3 linked regions of the Canis lupus familiaris genome follow. The protein of the gene in region 1 purifies or fractionates together with the protein of each later gene. This does not show direct contact. Links are inferred from orthologs where the notes say so. Each region holds a gene or a part of one and is shown in the gene's direction. Other genes may lie near its edges.

The links. Proteins that work in one complex are often made in the same cells at the same time.
Region 2: the proteins of BLNK (region 1) and BTK purify together in Homo sapiens (affinity purification with western blotting; 5 studies listed by BioGRID and IntAct, with this or other methods). This does not show direct contact. The link is inferred for Canis lupus familiaris from reciprocal best matches to the Homo sapiens genes BLNK and BTK.
Region 3: the proteins of BLNK (region 1) and SYK purify together in Homo sapiens (affinity purification with western blotting; 3 studies listed by BioGRID and IntAct, with this or other methods). This does not show direct contact. The link is inferred for Canis lupus familiaris from reciprocal best matches to the Homo sapiens genes BLNK and SYK.

Annotation. Positions count from the first base shown.
Region 1 is NC_049249.1:9,879,569-9,885,665, reverse strand, and holds the start of BLNK (B-cell linker protein), read left to right. Parts: upstream 1-2,303; 5' UTR 2,304-2,564; coding exon 2,565-2,611; intron 2,612-6,097. UniProt on the Homo sapiens protein: Functions as a central linker protein, downstream of the B-cell receptor (BCR), bridging the SYK kinase to a multitude of signaling pathways and regulating biological outcomes of B-cell function and development.
Region 2 is NC_049260.1:75,700,032-75,706,256, reverse strand, and holds the start of BTK (tyrosine-protein kinase BTK), read left to right. Parts: upstream 1-2,575; 5' UTR 2,576-3,039; coding exon 3,040-3,093; intron 3,094-5,433; coding exon 5,434-5,604; intron 5,605-6,129; coding exon 6,130-6,225. UniProt on the Homo sapiens protein: Non-receptor tyrosine kinase indispensable for B lymphocyte development, differentiation and signaling. Binding of antigen to the B-cell antigen receptor (BCR) triggers signaling that ultimately leads to B-cell activation.
Region 3 is NC_049222.1:96,695,061-96,701,404, reverse strand, and holds the start of SYK (tyrosine-protein kinase SYK), read left to right. Parts: upstream 1-2,694; 5' UTR 2,695-2,816; intron 2,817-2,852; exon of another isoform or gene 2,853-3,016; intron 3,017-3,169; exon of another isoform or gene 3,170-3,377; intron 3,378-6,344. UniProt on the Homo sapiens protein: Non-receptor tyrosine kinase which mediates signal transduction downstream of a variety of transmembrane receptors including classical immunoreceptors like the B-cell receptor (BCR).

The DNA of each region.
Region 1 (6,097 bases):
GAACATATCTTCTTTTATTTATTTTTTGTTAAATATTTAATACCTACAGTAGGTATCTGTATACTTGCAACTCAACTTGAGAAGTAGGACATCACCATTGTCTTTGAAGCCCTGTGTTCCCCTTCACTCCAACCCCCTTCCTTGATGACCATTCACCTGAATTTTACATCTATTTACATCTATCATTCCCTCCATCTGTTTGACCACATAAGTGTGTGTGTCATAAATTATATATTAGTTAGTTTTACATGTCTTTAGCCTTAATAGAACAAGAATCATGATACATGATCTTCTTTAACTTCCCTTTATTGCAATAAATTATTTTTATTATTTATCCATACTAATGTGACTATACTTCACTCATTGTCACTGTTGAATAGGACTCCATTGCATTCATATGCCACAATTAATGTATTCATTCTCTGGTTGATGAGCAATTGGATTTTTTCCAGTGTTTTTAAATTTTCTATTAGAAATGGTTCTTCCATAACAATTCTTGCACATGGCCTTGGTGTACACAGTATATTCGTACTGCTTTCTCATGTCTATGACCCAAATTACTTTGGTAATAACAAAGTGTTTCCAGAGTGATTGTACCTACTTGAATTTTTGTCAACAGTGCATAGAGTTCCAAATTTTCTCTAAGGTTGGGATTGTCCATTTGTCATCTGTTCATCTAGAGATTAATTTTCATGTGCACTGTGCCATGTAAATTGTGACTGTTTATTACAGTACGTTGTTCTCCATGTGTTGTGGAAACCATGCCGTGTGGCCTCATTCTTTTTACGAGTCATTAGCTAAGACTTGGTACCCTTGATCTCCAGGCTTGCATTGATCTTCTTGGAAAGCTGGTTACAGCTGCAGAGCAGTTGTGGCAGCTTGGAACATTATGGTAGTCATGCTACACACCACATGGGGCAAAATGTCCAGTCTGGAAAAGCAGACTCTCATTTTTATTATGTCAGACTAATACAGTAAGAAAGAAGAAAGACAAGTGGCTGTAAAAAGAAAAAGCAGAAGTGTAACTCTTGCCGCTGCTTTTTTTTTTCTCTGGGGAAATAAGAAGTTGCCAGTCCAGGTGCTAAACAGATTTGTTAGTTGAGAGAAAAGTCAAGTGGCTGATGGGGTGCACTTTACAGTAATTTAGAAGAAACAGGCTGGCTATCATCATCCCACTCAGTGAAGCTTGATTTTCTTGATCCTTGGTGACATTGTAATAGCTTTCCCTGTTCCCATCTACTAGTTTTGTTTTGTTTTTGTTTTTGTTTTTCAGTTAAGAACTATGGAGAGAGGATAGGTGAGGCTCTAGGACTCCTTCGGGATACACTGCAAGGAAACTGAGCTTCTTGTTTGGGGAAAATAAACAATTGGAAGAGGCAAGTGCTTGAATTTTTCTCATGAAAGATTGTCTGCTCCCTTGCTGGCCTGGCCAATTTAGTGGCTTGGCCAAGCAGAAGGGCCCCACCCTTTAATAGCTTTGAGGATTCTGCTCCTGAACACCTGGTCGAACTAGAAATTCAGAGGCAGAACATGAATGTGAACAATCAAGATTTACCTAGAGAAATATAGAACCTCTGTTTGTACAAAGAATAGATACAGAAGGGAAGAAATCCATCTACCACTTGTACTCTGCCAGAGAGGCTGCCTCTCCCTCCCCTCTTCCTTCTCCTCCTCCCTCCCGTTCTCCTCCCCACTCCTCCTACCCCACCTCATTCAGGTCTCTCCTTTTGGCTCTTCCTCCCATCTCCCCTTCTATCTTCAGCCAGACCTGGGGTCTGTAACAGGAGAGGTAACTTGGAGCCTCTGCTATGTCCTTCTTATATATTCTTCAGACCCAGGAGAGGATTAGTCACTGAATAAATGTGCTAAATATGCACCTTCTTCACAAAGGTGAGCAGGAATTTCTTGCTGGGTGCAGGGAAGTGTGCCCAGACATAAAAGGAACTGTCCCTCTCATTTTCCTCCTCCCTGACTTAAACTGCCTTCTGCTCTCTAAATGACAGTACAGAAATGCCGTTTTCATATCATGGTTCTTTAAGTGGAAAAATTTATCCATGAATTTATGCAAATGAACAGAAAGTCCCAAAGAGACCTGATGGAATTGATTATTCTGCTTTTCCTTGAGCCCAGGAAGCAACTGGGGACAGAATGACACCTGCTAAAAACAGGGCTATGTGTGTTTGGGACAACAGGAAGTAGTGACCATCTAGAAGCCAGTCCTGACCTGATTACAAATCTGGTTATAAAAGAAAGCAGCTGGAAAGAAATTTGCATGTCCAATAGGTTTCACTATTAAAGTTTACACGACGTGGAGTAATCAGCCAAGCCGGCTGGCTACCCAGATCACATGATTATGTAGAAACATGAAACTTGACTATGTGCTCGAGCAAGTTTTACTTCTCCCTACTGTAGGGTGTTTGCCAGCAGCCTGCACTCTCGGAAATCAGACTCAAGTGACTGGGACCCTTGAGATCAAAGGCTTACCATGCTTCTCCCTAAGAGGGCCAGGGCCTGCTGACATTACTGCTGACGGTTATTCGTGGTTCTTATAATTAACAAAAAGAATGGACAAGCTTAATAAAATAACTGTCCCTGCCAGTCAGAAGTTGAGGTAAGATTTTCCTTATCTAATACTTCTCCTTCCTCTGCTTCTTCTGCTTCTTCTTTTTTTTAATGCTCCTACTGCATCTGAGAAATATTGAAATCCTGGAATACTTTGCTAGTTGTAAGGCAGTGGGTGGCAGTTGCTATAGGGAAGTAGACTGAGTTTTTAAAGAGATATGTAGGAACAAGTGGGCTTATTCCTGCTGGTTTTAGCTATTGAAAGATTAAGGTAGAAAATTCTGGAGAATTCTGGCTTAGATTCTACTAAAGTTCAGCTTTCTGAGTCTGAATACAACAAACTAGTCTAAGGAAGGGTTTGTCTAACCCTTGTTTAACCTTTGCTAAACGCTTAACTATTTCATTGTGGATTACTATTTAATATTTAATGTTAAGGATCATTGTAATCATTTGTATTCATTGTAGTTGTACTATCTCTTATTTATTTTGTGGGTGTATATCACAAGTGCTTGGGGACAGGAGATCTGTTTTTCCAGTGTTCTTATGTCAGTATAACAATTATCTATAAAAAAGCCACTTGGAAAAAAAAAAAAAAAAACAGAAGTGGTGCAAGGAGCAAGAATCAAAAAACTCCTCTGAGTTATGGAAAAGACAATGTCTCAAATTCTCATTTGGAAGATCTTTTTGTCTCATTGTAACAGCATCATGTTTTTAGAGACTGAAACTTTTAAATACACAATGAGTGTTCTATATTCCAACTACCATTTGAACTTCAGTTTTTAGAGGGTGATATGACACGTGAAGCAAGTAAGTTTCCACAAATAATAAGGAGCTAGAGAATTAGAGCTTTTGAGACAAAATTTATGAGAAATTAGCCTGGAATTGGTAGAGGGATGGCCCTTTACAGTGAGAGTATGCATCTTACATTTGGCCGGTGCTTGGTAAATAGTGGTTTGAAATGAACTGCTGATCTGGGACCAGTAGGCTCCATTAATGTGCTCAGACATTTCAAGGGTGTGTTGGTGAGGGCTGCGGTATGACCTGCACTGACAGGGGACAAGAAGGTGCCTCAGCCTTTGCCTTGGTTTCAAGTTGCTACACTCTCATGGGAGGGGGGCAGGTGAATCAATGAAAGTAGTAAGTGACTGAATGAGTATAGAAAAGGAATTGGAAAAAAAAAATTAAAAAAAAAGAAAAGGAATTGGGATAGCCAGGAAAGGTTTCATGGAGAAGATGCTTCAAGAGCTAGGTTTGAGAGGTGGCTTAAGGCAAAAGTAGTGTGAGAATTGGAGGAAAAGCAATGAGCCAGGAGGAAGGAAATAGAGAAGCTGACACTTGAGGCTGGCCTTGACTCAGTGCATTGGTGGGATGACGAGGAGAGTGTTCTGTCCAACAGAGACTATGGAATAGGGTATATGGTACCAGAGGGTAGTCATAAGGGAGAATGTGTCGGGTGTGGCCAGCTCACAGAGGACAGTGAGGCTCTAACTGTGGGGGATTAGAGAATGGTTTACAGGGTTAGAGATGCCATGCCAGCAGGCTTACTAATGGGTGACAGAATGGACTACAGGGGTAGGAAGCTGGGGGCAGGGATATTCTGTAATGACGGTAGTTGAGGAATGACGGCTTCTAGTGTTAGGGGCCTGGACATGGGGCACAGCAGTGAGAAGGGAAAGGAAAGGAGAGGTAAGAAAGACATGCCAAAGAAACTAACAAGGCATGGATATTAGTGCTTCTCTCAAATGAGCAAGAGGGTTTTAAAAAGTCCTTTCTAAACATTCCATAACCTAGAGCTATACCAAGCCTTAGAACCCCTTTTAGGAAATCCAGATCAGAATTTAAGTAAAGGAAAGCACTAGAACCTGAATCACTGTATGATCTCCACCTGCCACCCCCCATCCCTTGGGACAAAGACCAGCTTAATCACAGAGTGGTTGACAGGCAATATGCAACCATAGATTATAGGGTAGAAAACCAAAACTCTACTGTGGATAATCATACACTACATTCATCTGCTTAGGCAGAAGTAACTTTTTCTCCACTTGGTCACTCAGTTGTCTTTACAGAATTGGTCTGTTTTGGTAAAATGTGCACTGCTGACGTGGAACTTTAAAAAAAAATGAAAAAAAATGAAATTGTAAACACGATGGACTTGAAGCACCATCTTAAATATTTTCTAGTTAGATGGGATGGCAAGGAGTAGGGAAATGAAGTAATTGATCCCTATGGTCTGTGTCCTCTGTCCTGACTCGTTAATACCAAATCAGACGGTTGTCTAACTGCAATTATTTGGTACCAGGTGACAGTATAAGTGAAGAGCTGTGTTTATATTCTTAGGTTTATCAAAATTTAGATGAGAATTTGCTTAAATTTTTAGCCACAAAAGTAGAGAGATAATTAGTGTCCATCAAGGGCACATAGTGATCCTGGCCCATAATAATTATCAGATTAAAAATGATATTAATATCATTATTATTCTTTCTTATTAATTCCATAGGTGTGTAATTGAAATCCTGAATAGAAACATAGGACTTTACATTGATCCTTGATAAAGTTTATGTTCATTTCAGTTCTTCTTTTTATCTATTTTGGTTATTCGGTTATTTTGGTTATTTTACCTGTTGGTTGTAACTCCTATGGCATTTAGCTTTGCAAGGACTGGAGGCACAACAAACAACCCTCCTCTGCCTTAACCTAAGTGGCTAATAAAACTGTTGAGCACACAGAGCCCTTCTTGGGTGTCTGGGTCTCACTGCTAGGACTCTTACTTAGAGATCTAATTTCACAGGTTTTGGGACATGGCTTCTCTTCTCGAGTCTTGGAATCCTTAATTGGAATTTCCAGTTACTTGATTTTTCAAGTTCGATTCTTCAGAAACAAATCCACTGGGGTGTCTGGCTGGCTCACTTGATAAAGCATGCGACTCTTGAACTCAGGGTCATGAGTTTGAGCCCCATGTTGGGCTGTAGAAATTTAAAAAAAGAAAGAAAGAAAGAAAGAAAGAAAGAAAGAAAGAAAGAAAGAAAGAAAGAAAGAAAGAAAGAAAGAAAGAAATTCACCTTCTTTTCACCTTCCTGCCACTAGCTCCATCTCTGATACTCTGTTTCTGTCAATAGTATTGTCATCAACCCTAACTCTGATTCATCCCTCTCTGCACTGCCATTTACTACCACACCCTGTAGTCTTTATTTTGTGATACTTCCATATATTCTACATATGGCTTTTCTGTCACATCACCCTGGATAGATCCTCATCTCCCCTGTGTCCCCCATCTATAAAATGAAGAGTTTGGAAACAGACAATTTCCAAAGTCTCTCTCAGCTCTAATGCTATGTGATCCCTTAAGCATGGAGACCATTCTCTGACCCCACTCTTGGGCAGCTTTCAAAGATTTTATCCCAAAGCCCTCAGGAAATATTTCCTGATTGAATCATCTGTCTTTGACAGATGCCTATCCGTAAACAGTAGGGTCAGAGAATACAACCAGACAGCATCCAAGGAGGTCATCTAGAAGGTTGCTATGATGTATTTAGAA
Region 2 (6,225 bases), on another chromosome or scaffold:
TGAGCATTCATTCTGAGAGTGGAAAACTATGACCATGCGCACAAGGATGTGCATGGCGGCATTGTTTATAACTGAAAACAAGCAATCTAAACATCTAGCAATAGGAGAATGGATAAATCAAATGTGATGTATTCATCATATAGAATATTTTATGCTGGGATGTCTGGGTGGCTCAGCGGTTGAGGGCCTGCCTTTGGCTCAGGGCGTGATCCCCAAGACCTGGGTTCAAGTCCCACATTGGGCTTCCAGCATGGAGCCTGCTTCTCCCTCTGCCTGTGTCTCTGCCTCTCTCTCTCTCTCTCTCTCTCTCATAAATAAATAAAATCTTTTTTAAAAATAATACTTTGTGCATATAAAATAAATTAAAATATATGAACTAGAGCTTTAACCAAGATAAAACATTATACTGAGAGGGGTACCTGGGTGGCTCAGTCAGGTGAGCATTCAAACTTGTGATTGTGGCTCAGGTCATGATCTCATGGGTGGTGAGATCAAGCCCCATGTGGGGCTCCACGCTCAGCAGGGAGTTGGCTTGGGATTCTCTCTCCCTCTCCTTCTGCCCCTCCGCCCACAGTGCTTGAGTACTCTTTCTCTCTCTCTAAAATAAATAAATAAATCTCTTTTTTATAAGTGTTTTGAAAGATTTTATTAAATAAATAAATCTTTACAAAATTTATACTGAGAAGAAAAGCAAGTTGCTGAAGAATATGTACCCTGTAAAACATGCAAACCAATACTAAATACCTTTCATGGATACTTACATATGCAGTAACAATATAAAAACATGCCTAGGAATGATTAACACGAAATTCAAGATATAGTTAACTTCTGAGGAAGGAGGGGATTGATTGCAGAGGAGTATACAAGGAAGTTTTGACTCTATGGTTAGTATTTTATTTCTGAAAAATGCCGGAAGCAATTATGGCACTATGTTAGAATTTTATAGAGCTAAGTGGTGAGTACCTGAGTGTAGTGTTAGTCTCTGTACTATTTGCCACACTTCATAATATAAAACAAAGTACATTTGATCAAAAATTTACATTCACACTATGCAATAACAACCCTAGGGACAGAGTTGGCAGGTGTTCCACATAAATCTCATATTTTTATCGAATCAACAATGAAAAAAAGTCCTGAAAAGAAAACAGCAAGTAACACCAGTTAGGATCTCTTTCCGAAAGACTGAAAGGAAAATGTAAGAAAATCTGGTAGGGATAAGAAGAGTCCACATATGGGAAAAAGTACAGTTGACAGTTAACAGGGATAAATCACCCTTTTTCGCTTGGAGGATTATTGCAGAGGAAAATGCTCCAGGATCCTGTACTCTCTCTTATCCCCTGAATTTACCATCATTTCCTCTTTTGTCAAATGTTCCTAGAAGATGCAGAGGATTCTGTCTCTACTGCTCTTTGATGGTAGCCATGGGGGATGACAGGTGGTGAGATGGATAGCATCAAAACTTATTGAAAGCAAAAAAAAAAAAAAATCTCTCTAGGAGGCAATGAGGTAGGTATCACAGAAACAGCAAGGGCTGTGGAGTTATGGATGAGGTTGGGCAGATCACACAACTTCCATGAATCTCACTTTCCTCACCTCTTTGTTGTAAGAAATAAATGAAATACTGAGTATAAAATGCTTGATGGGTAGACTGCACTGAGAAAAACAAGAATTTCCTTCCATTCCCCTCAGAAGAAAAGGGAATAGACAGACTTTTTTGGTACTTAAGTAATGCTTTAAATGAGAAATAGAGAATGATGTTTCTTGGATATTCTGGCTAAGTAGCTATTTGAACTATGACTGACTGGTTATTTCTAAATAGCATTTCCTGGACTCTTCCCAATCATAGGCAGGCTGTGTAGTCTTCTGAATTTTGCTCTGGTGTTTATCTTACCTTGAGCAGTGATAGGACCAAAGGTGATTTAGTTTACCAATCCTACAGGTGTTTTTCGTATCAATTCCTTGGCATAGCGCAGTTTTTAAGATGGCTGAACTCTTATTAACAAGCATCCTCTTTATGAATTCTGCTGCTCCATAGGAAGCTGGGAGGCTGCAAAAGGTGGCCACATGAAAATTCTTGCATTTGTAGTTTAAAAAGAGAACATTATAATGCTGGAATTCTGTATCTTTAAAAAGATTTTATTCATTTATTCATGAGAGACACACAGAGAGGCAGAGACATAGGCAGAAGGAGAAGCAGGCTCCCTATGGGGACCCTGATGTGGGACTTGATCCCAGGACCCTGGGATCACGACCTGAGCCAAAGGCAGATGCTCAACCACTGAGCCACCCACGTGCCCCTGGAATTCTGTATTTTAAATGAAGAACCTGTGTCTTTCTATTATTTTTCCTCCTCTTTCTTTATGTGAACATCAGTGTGTGAATGTGTGTGTGTGTTAACATTCATGTCACTTCCGGTTTCCACCCCCACCCCCACCCTCTGAGTGAAGTGGGGGGTCAGCCACATGGTGCATCTTTTGTGGTCAAATTAACTGTCAGCTGCTGAAATAGTTAGAAGAAAATTTAGAAGCTACCATAAAGAAGTTGCAACTGCCCTCTAATGCAGTGTCCATCACACACCAACCTTCAGGAAAAATGCACCTCCTTTCACATTATTGGTGGATGAATCAGTGATGACTAAGGAAGAACGACCACATTTTCAGGCTGTGTGTGTCTGGACTGGTTCACAAGGAATAAGGGGAAAGCAGTCAAAGAAGGGGCAACCAGACCTTGGAAATCCTGGGAATTCTTCAACTCCATGATCTAGTGGTAGAGGCCATTTCACCCTTTTGCTGAGAGGGGTGATGGCTAGTGAGAGGCTTACTTACTTCCTCATACTTAGACCAGCACTAAACCATAACCCAACAGACACTTGAAAGAGAGGAAGGCTTCCTCTTGTACAAACTGGATTTGTTCTAAAAGAGAAAAAGAAAGAAAAAAAAAAGAAAAAAGAAAATAAAAATAAAAGAGAAAAAGAGCAGAGGCAGTTTCCAGAAGGACCTATCTTATAGGAAGTAAGAGCAGAGGCCAAGACTGAAGCGGATGCTGGGTCAGAGCAGGGAATGCATCCATCAAGAGCTTGCAACAAAACTAAAGGTAAAATCATGGGTATGCTTTACTCAGCTAAAAGAAGCAAAACTGGATGTAGTTTGTTAGGATGCTTCTGATCCAATTTACTGGACATGCTACTTATTTTCATTAAGGCTTTATTTTATCTTGTGCAAGTTGAGTCTTTCTGATTGTGAAGAGCTATTTAATTGGAATTCACAGTGAAAAAAATGTGATCTCATTACAAGTATCTTGATGAGTTGACTGTTCTTGAGAATATAATATTACTTGGTTACCACTATTTCTGAATAAATGAATAATTTTAATGTTGACAGAAATCTCTGTGGGGTTTGAGCATTAGAAAGTACTCTGGTTGTAAAGTCTTATCAGTTTGTCACTCCTGTAGAGACCATTTAAACCAGGTAGTCAGGGAACCTGTGTGACCAGGTGTGGGGAAAAAGTTTGCTCCTTGTCTAATTTTTCTCAAAAGATCATTTATAAACCATTGAATTAATCCACCACCAGAAGACAGTAGCATCGACATGGTGAATAAGTGGCAAAGTGATTATTTTGAACATCCCTGGTGTTCCTTTAACCTATTTTTAATGTCTCCCCAGTATGATAATAGAACCTTCTACACCACAGGAAAGAGCAAAATAACGGTGCGGATAGCCTCAGACTTTGATAAAAACTGCTCCCTTGTTTCCTTGGTGTGAGCAATAATCTGTGTTTGGCAGGTAGAAAAAAAATGCTGACATTATTTATTCTGCATAGACAGATAAAGGATAAGGAGTTTAGTTATAAAAAATGTCATCCCTCCTTAAGAAAAAAACCCCACGCAGCCGGGGTGGCTCAGCTGTTTAGCGCCGCCTTCAGCCCAGGGCGCGATCCTGGAGACGGGATCAGGATCGAATCCCACATCCGGCTCCCTGCATGGAGCCTGCTTCTCCCCCTGCCTGTGTCTCTGCCTCTCTCTCTCTCTCTCTCTCTTTCTCTCTGTCTTTCATGAATAAATGAGTAAAATCTTTAAAAAAGAAAAGAACCCCACTTATAACAAAATTTGAGGGAAGCTGGTGATCTGTTTCAGTACTTATTTTGTACTGATTAAGTGCCCCATTTTGTGATAGTATTTATATTTTCACTTAATCTTTCTAAGGAAGGTTTGGAATTATGCATAGACTTTAAATGAATATGCAATTGTGTGTAAACAGTAAGTGAATAACTAATATGAAGCATGTTTTGTATGAATGAAAAAAACCAATGGTGATTTCTTTTGTAACTTTCTTTGCATTTTTGCACTTCAGCTACCTAAACTGAATCTTTCCTAGAGTATTCTAAGTTTGGAGAGAGTAAACAAATTACTTTTCGTAAATAACCAGAGATGGCACCCATAAGAGTAGACAGTTGCATCACTTTGGTAAGACAGTGTCTAAAAGAACCAATCTAAGAAAAGGAGGGGGAGGGCAGCCCGGGTGGCTCAGCGGTTTAGCGCCGCCTTCAGCCCAGGGTGTGATCCTAGAGACCGGGGATCGAGTCCCAGGTCGGGCTCCCTGCATGGAGCCTGCTTCTCTCTCTCCCTCTGCCTGTGTCTCTTGTTCTCTCTGTGTGTCTCTCATGAATAAATAAATAAAGTCTTTAAAAATATAAAAAGGAGGGGGAAACACAAACCAAAACACGCACACACAAAAAAACTAAAACACACACACACACACACAAACCAAAGACAAAACAAAAGGAACTCCCTCCCCCAAAATTATTTTTCAATTTTAGAACAAAGCTTCTACCCTTTGTAGCTGAGCTAGTGGTTGATGGGCAAAATCAGTTGGGCAGCAGTTAGTATATGTCCATACCTGCAGGTGCAGCCTCCATATCCTTATTATATGCCTTGTTTACAGACCCCAGTGGGACAATGTTTGAAAAAATTGCATTCACTGTCTAGGAAACTGGGAACTGAAAGTCCAATATCTGCCTCAGTGAAGTTTTGGCACCTGCATTATCCCTTCTGGGGATATCAGTGTCAACAGCTGCACAGAGACTGTTGCTGTTCACAGATTCTGCACGTATCACAAAAGGGTGGTTAGTATAAAGTGGCCTCTAGACATTACTAAGCACACAGGTACATGTCATTTGACATTCAGAGCATTCCATTGCCTTATACAAAAACCCAGTGTATGTGAGCTCATGCCGAATCTGTCCTTCCAATTCACCATTACACCTGAAAACTGACAGAGACGGAAGCTATGGAAGGAGGATGTCAAGGCAGGAAGAAGGCTCTTTATTAGCTTTGCATGATTCTGTTCCATTTGAAACTAGGTGGTCAGGTTGAGAGGGAACCAGGAGGGATAAGGAATAATGTGCTGGGTCCTCAAGAACTTTCATTATCAACAGCACACAAGTGAGCTCCAGAAAGAAGAAGCTATGGCTGCAGTGATACTGGAGAGCATCTTTCTGAAGCGATCTCAACAGAAAAAGAAAACATCACCTTTAAACTTCAAGAAGCGCCTCTTTCTCTTAACTATGCACAAACTTTCCTACTATGAGTATGACTTTGAACGTGGGGTAAGTTTTTCTGCTGTGAAACCTGAATATCAAGGACTTAGCCTTAGATCTTCCTTGAGGACTAGATATTTTTGGTTGGAGGAGGGAGGTGGTAGGGATCGAGGTATATTTCAAACTCAGAAAAATGTTTCTTAGCCTAGAACTAACTACAGCCATGTTGGCACAAAAAATTCAAAGGTGCTAAGAAGCCATGGGGGCAATCTTACCATGGAATCTTGCAACTGATCATTCATTAAGTGCTGTTGAGAATGAAATCCACGTCTTGAAAATTATTCTTCATTTTTTATGGTAAAGGCACACACAGTCATCCACTCTTCTATAGTATTTGCCCTCTGATAGTCAAAAAAGTTTAGATTAATAGATCTGGAAGTTTTGTTGTATTTTTTTTTTCAAAATGACAGGTTCTGATGAATAGAACGTGGGTGTCACCTCACTATGTTGAATGATTAGATAACAAAATCTAATCATCTGGTTGCTTAATCATTCCTAATCTTTCTCCATTTTGTTCCTCATTCTCTTTCTCAGAGAAGAGGCAGTAAGAAGGGTTCAATAGATGTTGAGAAGATCACCTGCGTTGAAACAGTGGTTCCTGAAAAAAATCCTCCCCCTGAAAGACAGATT
Region 3 (6,344 bases), on another chromosome or scaffold:
CCAAGGAAGAGGAAGACACGGAACACAAGAAACACAGACTCCAAGATACAAGGAAAATGAGACGAAGCACAGAGAGGGAATGGAAGAGATGAATCCTTGAAAGACTGCAACCATGCAACCACAAGTTGACCAAAATTGTGCCCAAATTTCCAGCCCAAATTCCTATCACCTAGGTGATCCAAAGAAACCATAAGCTGAGAATTTACTTTTAATTGTCCAAACATTAGTTTTACCCTAGGCTTCTGACCAAAGCAAAGGCAAATTGTCTCCGAAAGAAAACGTCTCTTCCTAGACCTCAATGAAGGTCCATGAATGGTTTTTCCGAAGTGGCGAGAGGCTCACAGTGAGTGCAGCCAAGTTTACAAGGAAGTTTGACACCATGAGCCAGAACCAGTAGAAATAAACAAGGCCAACAGACAGGAGGTTTCAGATGTCAATGAACACAGCAACCCCAGGAAATAGAGTTACTGTTCTTTTTTTTTTTTTTTTAAGATTTTCTTTATTTATTCATGAGAGACACAGGGAGAGAGGCAGAGACACAGGCAGGGGGATAAGCAGGCTCCCTGTGGGGAGCCCGATGTGGGACTTGATCCTGGGACTCCAAGATCACACCGTGGGCCGAAGGCAGACGCTTCACCACTGAGGCACCCAGGCACCCCTAGAGTTACTATTCTTAAAGAAAAAAAAAAAAAGAATCTGCAAGGAACAGGAGACTTTAAAAAGTAGCAGTGTGGGGAGTCCCAGAGACCATCAGAGTACAGGGTTTCATGGGGGGGGGGGGGCTCCAGGACTCAGACAATAATGACAGCTAAGATTTACTGAGTGAAGGGTGAACAGCAAAGCCATTGGAGGGAGAAGACCATTGGGAGAAGGAAGAAACGCTGGCAGAAATGTATTGACTTTTTTTTTTTTTAATTTTTATTTTGAAGTTGTCTTTTTGAAAGTTTTTTTTTTCTAGGTATTTGTGTAATGACTTTAACATTATGTTTTTTTTTCCAAAATCATCATAAGCATGCTCAGTCACTTAAATGCCCCAAAGGTGAGAGGGACCACACAGCAGTGCAGGAAGGCATTGTGTAGGGACTGATCTAGAACCTCATCGCCATTGGCTGCCCCTAGGGAAACACGTCATCTTCATCATCTTCATTAACACCAGGTTTGCTCTTCTCATGCAGATTCAAAACAAATCCCATTTGTCCATTTCCAATGATATTACCCACTCTGGAAACCTCCTGTGTACATGTTTTGCAGCTTCTGTTTAGAGAATGCTGGCTATTTCATTGGCTGTTTGAAGCAAAATTTAAGTCCAATGCTTATCAAATAGAGCCATAATAAAAATCCCTCACTTGACTTAAAAATGAATAGAAGAGAATGTCCAGGTGGGAAAGACTGAGGGGCCGCGATGAGTGTCCATACTCCCTATCACCTCGTATTTCTCCATGGCAATTATAATCTAACACGCTATATATTTCACTTTGAATTTTGGGGCTCAGGGCACAGCCTTTTAAAACACTTACTGCTACCTGTTACCAAGAATCTGAGGATCTGGGCACTGTTTTATGGGAAAATTTTAAAGAGGGCTCCCTGATAGAAAAACGAGGAGAGGGGATAGGGCATTTTAGAAATATTTTTTAGAACTACAATAAATTTAAAAAAAAACTACAGTAAATATATTTTTTAAAGATGTTATTTATTTATTCATGAGAGAGGCAGAGACACAGGCAAAGAGAGGGAGAAGCAGGCTCCCCGGGGGACATGATCCCAGGAATACGGGATCAGGACCTGAGCCAAAGGCAGACATTCCACACTGAGCCACCCAGGTGCCCCAATACTACGGTAAATATTAAACTTAATTTATTTAGGTCCAGGCATAAGAACCGGTTGTGGGCTGAAGGGAGCAAGTTGAGCTCACTGTCAAGAACCTTGAAATCACCAGAGCCCTCAGAAAACACGGCGTGGGACAAGCCGGGCCCTTCCAGCAGAGCGCAGTGAAGTCCGATGTGCACCTAGAGCCTAACTCTAAAGGCAGGGTGCAGAGGGCCTTGGGGTCACAGGTCAGCAGGAGCGGCTTGGGTTGGTGACCAGGAGGGAGTCCGCCCCCCAGTGAGCAAGAGTCTCTTCCCACGCCAGGGCCCTGCGCGATGGGCGCGCCCTTTTAGCGCTGCCAGTGGTTCAAAGGACCAGGTGGCAGGTTGGCAAGGCGGCCAGAGGTTCCTGTTGCTGTCAGGGCCCCTTGTGTGTGGATGAAGACCCCTGGGGTGGGCCTTCTGGGCCTGGGAGGCAGGGCGCAGGGGGCTAGGGGCGCTCGGAGCCTGTCCTGGGCGCACGGGCAGCAGGCACGGCGTGGGGTCCCTGCAGGCACTCCGGGTGGGCCCGGGGCGCTGGGAGCACAGGGGCACGGGGGCGCACCGCAGGCTGGCGGGCGGGTGGGTGGGCCCCGGGCGCGGGGGCGCTGGGGGCACTCGGGCGGGCGCGGGGTCACTGGGGCGCACCGGCGGGCGGGGTAGGCGGGTCCGGGGCGCGGGGGCGCTGGGGGCACTGGGGCGGGCGCGGGGTCGCTGGGGCGCACGGGCGGGCGGGGAGAGGCGGGGGGGGGCGGGCCCCCGGCGCTGGGGCGCGGCGGCCGGGAGGAAGTGCGGGGCCTGCCCGGCGCGTTAAGGAAGTTGCCCAAAATGAGGAAGCGCCTCGCGCTGGCCGGCTGAGAAGACTCCAGCGGCGGGAGGAGCGAGGAGCAGCGGGCGGTCCCGTGCTGCGCCCCGAGCCGTCCGCGCCCGCGCCCCGCGCCCCGCGCCCCGCCCTCGGCTCACCTGGCACAGGTAGGTGTGGCGCGCGCCCTGGGCCGGGCAGCCGGGACGCGGAGCCCCGGGCAGCCGGGAGCAGGGGAAGGCGGGCGGGGCGACGCGCCTGTCGCCCCCCTGCCCGCCCCGAGTCCGGGTCTGTGCGGGGCCCTCGGCGGGGCAGGTGCGCTCAGGGCCTCGGGAGGGACAGGCTGATCGAGTCTCTGGAATCAGGACGGGTAGGTCCTCCACCGAGCACTCCCGGGGTCGGTGGGGTCGGGCCTGCCGGGCACGCGGGGCGGGGCGCCAGTGGGGCGGGCGGGGGGGGGGTGCGGAAGCCGCAGGTGCCGGCGGCGGGCGCGGATCCGGGGCGCAGGAGGCTCACCTTGTCCTTTGGCCATTTTATCGCTGCCCTGGGAAATTCCACCTTGTTGATGTGGGTGACTCCAGGTGCCAGTGCTCCTGGGCCTGCGGAGGGTTCAGCGCTTGCACGCCTTTTCCTACAGAAAGAGCAGTTGTGTAGAAACAAGAAACTTCCCGGGCCACCCCTAAAATGGAGCAGGATCGCTCGTTGAGACACGTTTTCACGGTACAGTGACAGTAAGTGCCGCCGAGAGCCCAGTGTGGTGCGATGCCGATGCCGGGTCAGTTGGAGTTGGGCAGCATAGCTCCCAAAGCATCAGCCCGCCTACCTAGCTGTACAGAGGCGATTCAGCTTTGGGTTTATTCGAATGTTCCAGAACTAGGAAGACCTAGTCTGGAGAAGTCACGGTTTGAGGCTTTTGATGTTGGAGACAGTGTTGCAGGTTATTTTCATCCGTTTGACTGAATGACCAAAGATTCCGTTGATCCCTAGCAACCCTTGAGCAGCAGGTGTTCTTTCCTTAAGCCCTGGAAGCGCTGTCAGTGGGTAGTTTAAAGGTTGGAGATGCCCCACATCGGAATTTTCTAGTTAAAAAAGAGTTCATCTTGTGATGACTTGGAATTCTTGGAAGGAATGGAAATGATTCTAGCATCTGAAGCCTTTTTTTTTTTTTTTTTTCAGTAAGAAGAAATTCATTGCCACTAGGAAGGCAGCATTTTAATTTCACGGAACTAAATTCATTGATCTGCTCTCTCCCCCCCCCCCCGCCCCCCCAAAAAAAAGTCCCTATTGTGCATGAATATATTTATCCTTGAGCTAACACCTTTAGAAAGGTGTAGAGTACTAGGGGTTTTAAACGAGAAATCTTCTCCATTAAAATTTTTTATCAAGTCATTTTGTTCCATCTCCATTATACTTTTGTTTTGTTACGTTTAGAGGAGATTTTGTAGTAAAATAGAAATGGATTTCTAGTCTCTGTATGTGGAGCGCTTTCATAGGTAGGATTTTATAAATAGGCTTAGTAACTAGAATGTTTTTAATGTTTTAAGCTAGGATAAAAAAATGAGGCGTATACTTTAGGTCTTAACCTCTGCTAAGGGAAGAACTTGACAAATAATCTTATTGTTAGATCTGTATTTAAGAAATAACTCACTTTCACCTTCTTTAGGCTCATATTTAATTTAATATCCTAAGCGCAAGTCTGACCTCTCAGTTTTATTTATTTTCCTTTTTAAAAAAATTTCTCTGCTTTTAAACCAAAGACTCCCTAGTACAGTATCTACTTTATGCAGCACATAGCACGTCCACAATTATTTTCCAAAACCCATGTGCTAAGATATGTTTTGGAATCCTGGATTTTTCACAATTTAGAGTTCAAATTGGGAAGCTAAATTTCAGCATTGAGAAAAACATTTCTCAGAATTTAGAGAGGTACGTGTCCACACTGTCGCCGTGTATTAGAGACTCTGGTACATGCTGGGCGGCCTCCCATACTCCCACCCGTTCATATGTCTGCACGGACACTGTGACTTGTCGCATTTAGTGGAATAAACACACTATAAATAGCTGTGTGTCCGTTTAGGGCAGATGTCACTGAGTGAGTTCCCTAAAACTTACCTCAAAACCTTATTTCTCAGGGGTTTTACGCATCAGGACGTTTGGAACCATATGAGACTCCTAGGGCCTTTTGTTTACTTTTGGAAATAAATCGCATTTCTCCTGTCCAGTAACTATACCTTCTGTGATTAAATGGGCAAATTGCCCCTTTTCAGGGAGCAAGACCTCATTGAAATTTCAATGATAACCATCACAATACAGATCCAAGTGAGAATAAATGATGTTATTTTTTAAGATTTTATTTATTTATTCACCAGAGACAGAGAGAGGGGCATGTGGGACTCCATCCCAGGACCCCAGGGTCATGCCCTGGGCCAAAGGCAGACGCTCCACCCCTGAGCCACCAGGGGCCCCAAGATGGATGATTTTAGAGCAAGAATGCAGGGAGGTTACTGCCATCCTTTGTGCCCACAGTATGTTTTTGGAAGAAGTAGTATTTCCTGTTCCCCCCACGGCAGGCTCGCCGTCTCTGTGTTATCTGTTCCTGAGGAATGGAAGAGCACTTTTTTACAATCCGAGCTAATTCTTCCTTTATCCTCACCCTGCCCCCTTGCTCCCCATTTGCAAAGTTTTAACATCTTCCATTGCTGGATCATTTTGGGTGCAAATGAGTAGAGAAAAAATTAGCCCTTGGGAGAGGACTTTTTTTAATGTTCATGCACTGAACTTTTTTTTTTTTTTTTTCTTTTAAAGCAACTGAAATCAAAAGGCAAAGTCCTTAGAAGAGCCTGGAATTAAATTGTCTGAATTAACTGTGTCTCATCTCTTGCTCTTCCACCTTGCGTTTCAATAAGTTGGTTCTTTTTCACTTGGAAAAAAAACAGGTTTTTGTTTTGCTTTTGACTAGGCAAAGATGAGTACACAAGGAGACAGAGCGGATTTGAAAGGAGAAGTTCATTCATTCATTCTGGTGTTCCATTAGCAGGCACGTTTCCTATGAGCTTATAGTTTCATCTGACAAAAAAACAAATTAGCTTGCATTCTTTGAAACCTGTTTGTCTTTATAAATGAATTATGTTAAGTTTTGCCCTTTGGATCTTGAAAAGTTGAATTAGCATCGTAAGTGCAGTCACATCTAGTTGAGGCCAACAAGACCAGTCCAGGGAAGAGTATTAGGGCTAACGAATCAGAAGTGGCTCGCTCTGCATCTGTCCATTTCTGGAAACCACCAGAAATGTTTTTTGGAGGCTGCCAGAGGCTGATGGTAGGAGGAGGAAGTGAGTATTGAGGGAGTATCAGTTAACACCCTGATTACTCAGGAGAGGGGGCCCTGACAGCTTTTATGATGGCTGGTATCTGGTGAGTAGTATCCCCTGTCCCGGGGTGCCTCCCTCTGACACAGGGGGTGCTTGGACCCTGGAGCTGAGGGGCCCTGGAAGGGTCACCACCTCCCAAGGCTGTGCTGGAGCACTGTAGGGGGCCCAGGGCCAGAGGGTTCTGGGCTTCTCCCCGATTGGCCCACGGTATGGGAGGCGTTGATCCCAGTGCAGGCTGAGCTGGCAGGAGGGTCACAAGGCCAGCGGCAGGGTAATGGAGGCGCAGGCCCAGGGACGGTGAGGACGATGAGTCGGGGGGAGTGAGGAAGG